2 linked regions of the Coturnix japonica genome follow. The protein of the gene in region 1 purifies or fractionates together with the protein of each later gene. This does not show direct contact. Links are inferred from orthologs where the notes say so. Each region holds a gene or a part of one and is shown in the gene's direction. Other genes may lie near its edges. The genes, in order: NUP85 and NUP37.

The links.
Region 2: the proteins of NUP85 (region 1) and NUP37 purify together in Homo sapiens (affinity purification with western blotting; 4 studies listed by BioGRID and IntAct, with this or other methods). This does not show direct contact. The link is inferred for Coturnix japonica from reciprocal best matches to the Homo sapiens genes NUP85 and NUP37.

Annotation. Positions count from the first base shown.
Region 1 is NC_029533.1:9,354,797-9,358,716, forward strand, and holds the start of NUP85 (nuclear pore complex protein Nup85), read left to right. Parts: upstream 1-1,357; 5' UTR 1,358-1,456; coding exon 1,457-1,489; intron 1,490-1,575; coding exon 1,576-1,871; intron 1,872-2,046; coding exon 2,047-2,117; intron 2,118-2,594; coding exon 2,595-2,638; intron 2,639-3,065; coding exon 3,066-3,135; intron 3,136-3,329; exon of another isoform or gene 3,330-3,489; coding exon 3,490-3,611; exon of another isoform or gene 3,612-3,920. UniProt on the Homo sapiens protein: Essential component of the nuclear pore complex (NPC) that seems to be required for NPC assembly and maintenance. As part of the NPC Nup107-160 subcomplex plays a role in RNA export and in tethering NUP96/Nup98 and NUP153 to the nucleus.
Region 2 is NC_029516.1:56,782,410-56,786,217, reverse strand, and holds the end of NUP37 (nucleoporin Nup37), read left to right. Parts: intron 1-737; coding exon 738-919; intron 920-1,434; coding exon 1,435-1,485; intron 1,486-1,829; coding exon 1,830-1,923; intron 1,924-2,678; coding exon 2,679-2,792; 3' UTR 2,793-3,029; downstream 3,030-3,808. UniProt on the Homo sapiens protein: Component of the Nup107-160 subcomplex of the nuclear pore complex (NPC). The Nup107-160 subcomplex is required for the assembly of a functional NPC.

The DNA of each region.
Region 1 (3,920 bases):
GTTCTGTGACAATTTGAGGCACACGTCCTTGCCCCGGTGAAACGCAAAGACAAGGAGTCTGTTATTCCTGTGAAGCACAATTAAGAGAAAACGAGGCTGTTCACTCACCAAGCAAACTGAAAGTTTTAGAACTAGCACTCAATGATTCCTTTGGCTAAACTTGTACACTGGCCCTTAAACTAATATATGGGATTCCTATTGCTAAGGCAGTCAGCCTACAGCACCTTCTCAGCCTGAACCCTGAAGGGGCGAGTGGCTTATTCGGATTTTGCTCTTCATTAATACTAGTGTAGCACCAGGAGCAGAAAAGCATTGCCGAGGTGATTGCCTGTCTCATGCTTCCCCTTTCACGATGCTTATCCTCCTTGCCTTCTCCCAAGCTATGAAATTACTTTCCAACCTTCTATTTTGTAACCCTTTATTCCCTTCCTCATTAGACCTCAAAGTTTTGCTGCTTTCTCCCATCCCCAGAAAACAGTCGTGTTCTTTTGGCTGAACCCAGAGCTGTAGCTCTCAAGTCTTTTTGAACACTGTGTACTTCCACGCTGCCATTCTGGTTGTAATTCGATTCAGTTACAGACTGGTCAGGCACAAGAGCCTTTCTGAGCCAGAGTGCAGGCTCATCTCTCTCCTAGATACACGCAGACCTCCAGCCAACCTTCCAAGAAGGACTAAGACACTGCAAACTAAACTTCACCTCTGCCAAGGTCATTTCCCTCGGCAAAAGTCACTTTCTCAAGGGCAGCAGGAGCTGCAGCCATGAAAAGCTACTGGCGTTTTTAGTCAGTGAGCAGAGGGGCTGTGTCCGTCAGCACAAAGCAGGAAAGGAGCTGCAGCTTTACATCAGCTTGTAGTTTTTCAGTCTTTGCACTGGATGGGATCCTGAGGCAGGAGGACACTGTCCCATTCCTACACCCTCACCTCAGACATCAAAACATCCTTCAACACAACGACGAAAAGGAAAATAAGAGCAGTGAGACCAACAGACACTGCCCAGGGCTCGGGCCTCTCAGCAGCGCTGGTTCAGGCTGAGCAGCACCTGCCTTTTTACTGCCCGTTACAGAGCGACCGCGGCGGGACAGCGGGACACGGCGGGACAGCGGGACACGGCGGGACAGACAGGTGGACACGACACAGCTCCGCTCCGCTCCTGCCGCGTCCCCCCCGCCCCGCTCTGCCATTACAGCGGCCCGTCCTCTCCTCCCCTCCCCTCCTCGCGTCCTCCCCCGTCCCGCCCCGCCGGGGCCTTCAATGCCGGCGCTGTTTCCGGGGCGACCGGCCGCGCCTGCCCCGAAGTGTCGGAGCCCCGTCGGTCCCGAGGGCCCGAAGCGGAGCAGCCCGCAGGGAGCCTCGCTGGCTGCCGGCTGCGGGTAACGCTGCGGAGCTCCGCGGGGCGTTGGGCAGCGGGGCGGGCAGCCGCCAGGGGCCTCAGCGCGGGCGGGAGCGCGGCGTGGCCATGGAGGAGCCCGAGACGGAGCCGCCGCTGACGGTCAGGGCCGGACCGCCCGTCCCCGTCCCTTCCTTTCCCTTCCCTTTCCTTACCTTCGCCCCCCGCTCTCCTCTCCCTTCCCGCAGGTGGTGCCGGGCGCCGACCCGGCCCGAGCTCAGCTGTGCTTCGAGTGGGGCCCCGCCGAGATGCTGCTGTGCGAGACGCTGTTCGGCCGGGGCGGCAGCGCGGGGCCGGGGCCGGCGGGATGCGGCGCTGCGGGCGGCGGGGACGGAGCGGCGGGTCCGTCGCGCGTGTTCGTGGTGCGCAGGGATCAGGACATCTACATGGAGACGCTGCGGAAGCTTTTCAACGAGTCCCACGGCATCTTCGTGGGGCTGCAGCGCTGCGAGGAGGAGCGGGCTGCCAGGGCGAGGAACGCGCAGTGAGTGGGGCCGGAACAGCCTCCTTTTGGGTGCTGAACAGTGCGTGGGACCCTGCACAGCACGGGCAGCACCCACCAGGCTGACCCTGGTTCTGGAAGCATCCACGGATGCACAGAAAAGGGACCGTAACCGAAGCAGTATCTCTCTGTAAACGATCCTTTTTGTGTTTGGCAGATTAGTCCAAGTGAGTAAAAACTACCGCTCGGTCATAAGAGCCTGCATGGAGGACATGCACCAGGCTGCCAGTAAGTCTGTTGCACTGCAGTAAAAAGATGCTACTTGTGATGATAAAAATAAGATTTCTCTTGGAAGTTGCTATAGCTACTGAAAAACAGCCCATATAAACTTCAGTAATTAACAGGATTCCATCTTCCATCATTGAGATTTCCATGTTGGTTCATCATCTCGTAACTGATTTTGGGAAGACTTGCAGTATTTTCATGTCATGACTTGTGGTTTTGTGGAAAAATGAGTCAAATTCACCAGCTTGCTCCTCTGAAACAGTGAGAGGACTCACTGTGTCTTAACATCCTTGTCCTGTAAATATACCAGATTTATAAAGAGTTCTGCAGGGTGAGCTGAGCTGTATCAGCTGTGCACACATCTGGGGCTGTACCCAGCGAGCGATCAAGGACTGTATGAATGAGCTCAGAAAGTTTTGTTGTACCTGTAAATATGCTGCTTTTTATGCTGCTTTTTGACTTGGTGTATTTTTCGCTCAGTTTCAGCCCGGGACTCTGCCCTGCACAACCAGTACAGCATTCAGGTAACGTACAGTCACATCCACGTAGTTGCATGAATATTGGTTAGTAAAGCCACAAAGACCAACACCGTGGCTGTAGTTTGTTGTTTGAACAGCACTGATGTTGCTTAGTTTGCCTTTAGTTCCTTCTGTGCTCTCTAACTCTCAGGAGATTAAAAAGGCTTCAATTAACACTTTCTGCACTGTTCTGCATTTCCCTGAGGAGCGATTACTGTTGCATTTCAATACACAAACCACCGATATTTTCTAAAATGGATGTGTATAGAGAAGTTATGGCCTGTTTCTGTCTTTTGATTATCTCTGGAATATCAATGTGACATTTCTCTTGTCTACAAAAACCCATCTCTGTGGGCAGCACATTCAGCTGTGCACTTAAAATTAAATAACAGGAACAATTATGACCCTGAAACGCAGCTCTGCTTTTTGTCAGGTTTCTATTCTCTCTGCCATGGAGCTGATCTGGAATCTGTGTGAGATTCTGTTTGTTGAAGCAGCGCCAGGTGAGCAGTGAACAGTTCTGATGTTAAGCCTGAAAGTGGTCTTGTTTGCGTAATAATCGTTTAAAATGTAGACAGCGTGCGTGGTGCTACATCTTAATGCTTACTGTGGAGTGTATGACAAGCAGCACCGAATTCTGATACCTTTTCTGCCTCAGTAAATTGCATTTTTTTGTATTAAATTATATCAGGATGCATTCTACTTTACACTGGCTTATTTATTTATTTCTCACAGAAGCATAATAAACAAAAACTTGTTCCCAGTTTATTTGACCTTAAAGCATAAGAACCTTCTTAAATTAACTGCCTGGGGACAAACAGTTTGGGAACTAACAGTGATACCTTCTCTGTGTAAAGCTGGTCCTCTCCTGCTTCGTCTCCTTGACTGGGTTCAGCTTCACATCTGTGATGTAGACAACATGGTCCGTGAAGTTCTGAGCAGCGAAAATCCATCAAAACACAAACTCTTCTGGAACGTGGTGAGTACAGCCCCCTGTCAGACGTTTAGATGAAGTCGTGCCTGTGTGTCTCGCATTCCTCTTCTCAGCACTGTAGCACATCTCAGAAACTGATACCTGAGATGCTGCTTCTGTCTTTGTAGTTTTAAGATAAAGCATTGTCAAGGTCATAGAATCACTCAGGTTGGAAAAGACCCGAAGGGTCATCAAGTCCAACTACAGCCTAACCATGCTACCCTACCTACCCAACAGCCCTCCGCTAAATCATGTCCCCGAGCACCACATCCAAATGGCTTTTAAACACATCCAGGGACAGTGACTCAACCACCA
Region 2 (3,808 bases), on another chromosome or scaffold:
TACATGAAACATGCTGAAAAATCAAATAAAAAATTATGATTTTCTACTTATCTGTTTTTTGTACCAGAAGGGATACACCAAGTTCAACTTCATTAATGGTCTAATCCTTGCAATTTAGGATTTATTATTTCTTTTGTGTCAATAACTACCTTAAGTATCTACACATAGTTTTTCAGATTATTACAGAAACACATGCTTCTAACAGAAAAAAGAATAAGCAATCAAATCAGGTATCAAAATAGTTAAATAGCAGCAGGGCATAAGGATGTGAATTCTCTTTATGCTTCCCATGAATATATGGTCCTTACAAAGAAAATCAGGAGAACTGTTCATTCAAGTGGTATCAAAATTGAATATATGCTGTTGTTTGCTACTAGCCAGTGTTGGTATACAAAATCAGTAAGTGTGAATGCAGATATTACAGTTACATTGATTGATATCATTGTTTCCTGTACAGCACAATCTCTGTTAGTCAGTTCCTTGTACTCAGAACAAAGTGGTTGAGAACTTGCGCTGCTATACACCAAAGCATACATACATATACATATGTATACGTATGTATATATAGATGAAATCATGTAATCACTGTGTACAGTGTCATAGGAGTATAATTAAAAGTGCTGAAGTCCATAGATTATTATGTCCTTGAAAAGACTCTAGGTTTGCTTTAGAGTGGAAAAGCTTGCAAAGATTTTTTACGTGCTAGGTTTACAAGGTTTTATTATTTCCTCTTACAGCTGATGGTAGCAGAGAAAAATGGAACAATACGATTCTATGACCTAGTTACACACCAGGCCATTCTCTCCTTAGAGTGTGAACAAACACCGCTGATGTCAGCAGACTGGTGTTTAAAGAATACGCTCAGAATTGGAGCAGTTGCTGGAAGTGACTGGCTAATCTGGGATATCTCTCATTCCAGGTATTTTTTACATGTAGGAGAGTATTTGTTCCTTAAGCAGCACGTGAAGAGATGTGACTACTTTGCTAATATAGCATTTAATTGCTATAATTTTATAGTATAATTTTATAGCATCACCTATTCAGTTAATAGTAAGTATTCATCAAAAATTATAAAATCAGTACAGGTCATTTCTTGCCATACTTTTTCTTGCTTACTTCTATCTGTTAAAGTAACATGTTTCCTTTTTGTCCATTTGAGACAACATCTCTCCTGTTTGTGAAACTTGTTTATTAACATTTCATTCTAAGTCATAAATATCTAGTTGTTGAAACATAGTAAAGTCACTAATTACTTCATTTTTTCCTACTCTGAAGTGAAATGTAAGCTGAAGAAAAGCTCAAGTTTTCCATCAACTTCTTCACAGAGAGTAGACCATATTTCCTCTTCAGTGTTAAAAAAGAATTGTTTTGATACTTGCAGTATGATCTGTAGTTGTTTGCAGAAGGGCTTTTTACATGGAATGTCTGTTTTAGTTATCCACAGGACAAGAGACCCGTCCATGTTGATCGAGCCAGATTATTCAGGTATAAGCGTTGTCTTTACTGTGTGATTTTCTTTCTAATATAAATCTATGTATAATCAAGTATTTGTGAGTTAAGGAACATATGTTTCCTAAATCATTTTAAGGGGACCTGGTCTATAAGCTTTGTGAAATTTGTGACTGACCATGATTTTTCTGTTACATGATAACATGCACACAGGGGTTTTGATAGTAAATAACTTACAAGCCATTTCCCTGAATTTCTTTGGTGTCAGTGGAATATCTGATGGCTTCATACAATTAATAGCAAGTGAGAAATCTTCAGTTCGTGAGCACTTCTGATAGTCTGGTAGGGATATTTGAAAGGTACATTTATTTTATTCATAGGTGGTCCCGAGTGAATGAAAATCTGTTTGCAACTGTCGGATATCCAGGAAAGGCGACTACTCAACTGCTTGTTCATCACTTAGGACATCCCCAGGTAAACTTTTGAATTTGGTTTTTGGATGGGATTGCAACACTTCCTTTCAAATCAGACTCATAATTAGCTAAAAGCTTCAACTGAAAAAAGTCCAAAGCCATCCAGAAATGCTGCTTGGCCTATTTGTTTTATTTATTGTTTCATCCATGCTATAGAAAAATTGCACATCATACTTAGCATGTTATTTAAAAGGCTGATTAATCTACCCAATTGCTATGTCTCATGCAAAAAGGAGGAAAAAAACTTCCATTTAGGTTTATATTATTAATGAGAATGTATCAAGACTGTGCATGTTAAGCACAATGAGTATTTTTGATTTTGCTGAAATCAGTATACATTTGCAGAGCTTACAGTAAAAGATATTATCGCCAAACATACTAGTTAGTTGTGATTACACTTAAATAGCAGGAAGTTATTTCATTAAAAAGATGCCTAGGTTTGAAAGCATAACTTTATAATAGTAGTATTGTTAAAAGCAGTGAAAGTAGCTGAAAAATTTATCATGAAAGATGTTGTTACATCTTATTTATACTAAGCGGCTACTGGAACATAGGAAGAGACTATCAGTTATTTCAGTTTCATTTCTGATGTATTTTAACTGTATTTTTTTTCTGATGTATTTTAACTGTATTTTAACTGTATTTTTCACTTTTATGTGAAAGTTTGTTCATGTAACTTCATACACGTGGTGTACATGGTAACCTGTATTGATATTTCTCTTTTTTTTTATTTTAATTTTTTATTCTTTCTTTAAGCCCATCCTTACTGGTACTGCAGCTGTAGGATCTGGATTGACATGGCACAGAACCCTTCCGTTATGTGCAGTTGGAGGTGACCATAAAATTTTCTTCTGGGTAACAGAAATGTAAAAATTGCCATTTGCCTTCAGTATTGAACTTCAGAGTATGATATCTTTTTCACAGCAAAGCAAAGCATTTACTCTTTGGATTGGTAGCAGGATTCATTTGGATTCATTTGCAGGATATAAGAAAAAATAAAATAAGAAACCTTTTGTGTTTCATTTTCAGCTTGCAAATGAAAAAACTATTCTGAAATCAGATACCTATGTTACTTCCCTTTAAATATACACATTTTTCAACATGGTATTTGGTGTGGCATTTGTTTTTTAATGGTAACTTTTTTTTTGTTTATTTGAAGAGATTTTGTATCTGGCAATCTCAGTTGTCTCTCAGTTAACCCAGCACAAATACTTTGAAATTCTCACAGAGTGCCTACAGCATGAATACGTGTCTTTGTCTTAACTTTCCTGATTCATTGCTGTCTTTTAAGAAAGAAAGACAGTAACGTACTGTTGTAACATATTGTCTGTGAATGTATTTGCTGATTAAAGAAATTACCACAAACAGTGAAGAGGCTGATGATGTAATCACAATAATTGTAATACCTACAGATAAAAAATCAAATTGAACCCTACAAAAACTGTATTTATTTGTAGATTTATTTGGGTTACCAGCAATCTAAGAGCTATTTACTACGTATTCCAAGATACTCATATTATTGATTTATATTAATCATTGTAAATTATTTTTTAGGAAGAATGTTCAGTGACTGAATTGTTACTGTTATAATTTAAGGTCTTTTTAATATTTTAGAGTTGTCACATGTACTCTAAATTGAGATTGCTTGTCATCATTTAAACAAGGAAGATGTTTTGTCACCATCTTCTTCTGTGTGCTACAAAACAAGCAAAACCAAATAATTAGCATACATCACAAACTTCAGTTGTGTAATGGTAATACCTCTGTCTCCACACACTGTTATGTAATCAGACAATTCCAAATGATCTGGAAGACCTCTTTTTAGTTTCATTTTATTTTTTTTACTCCTTACTAACGAAACAAAACCTGCAATTCTAACAGATTTC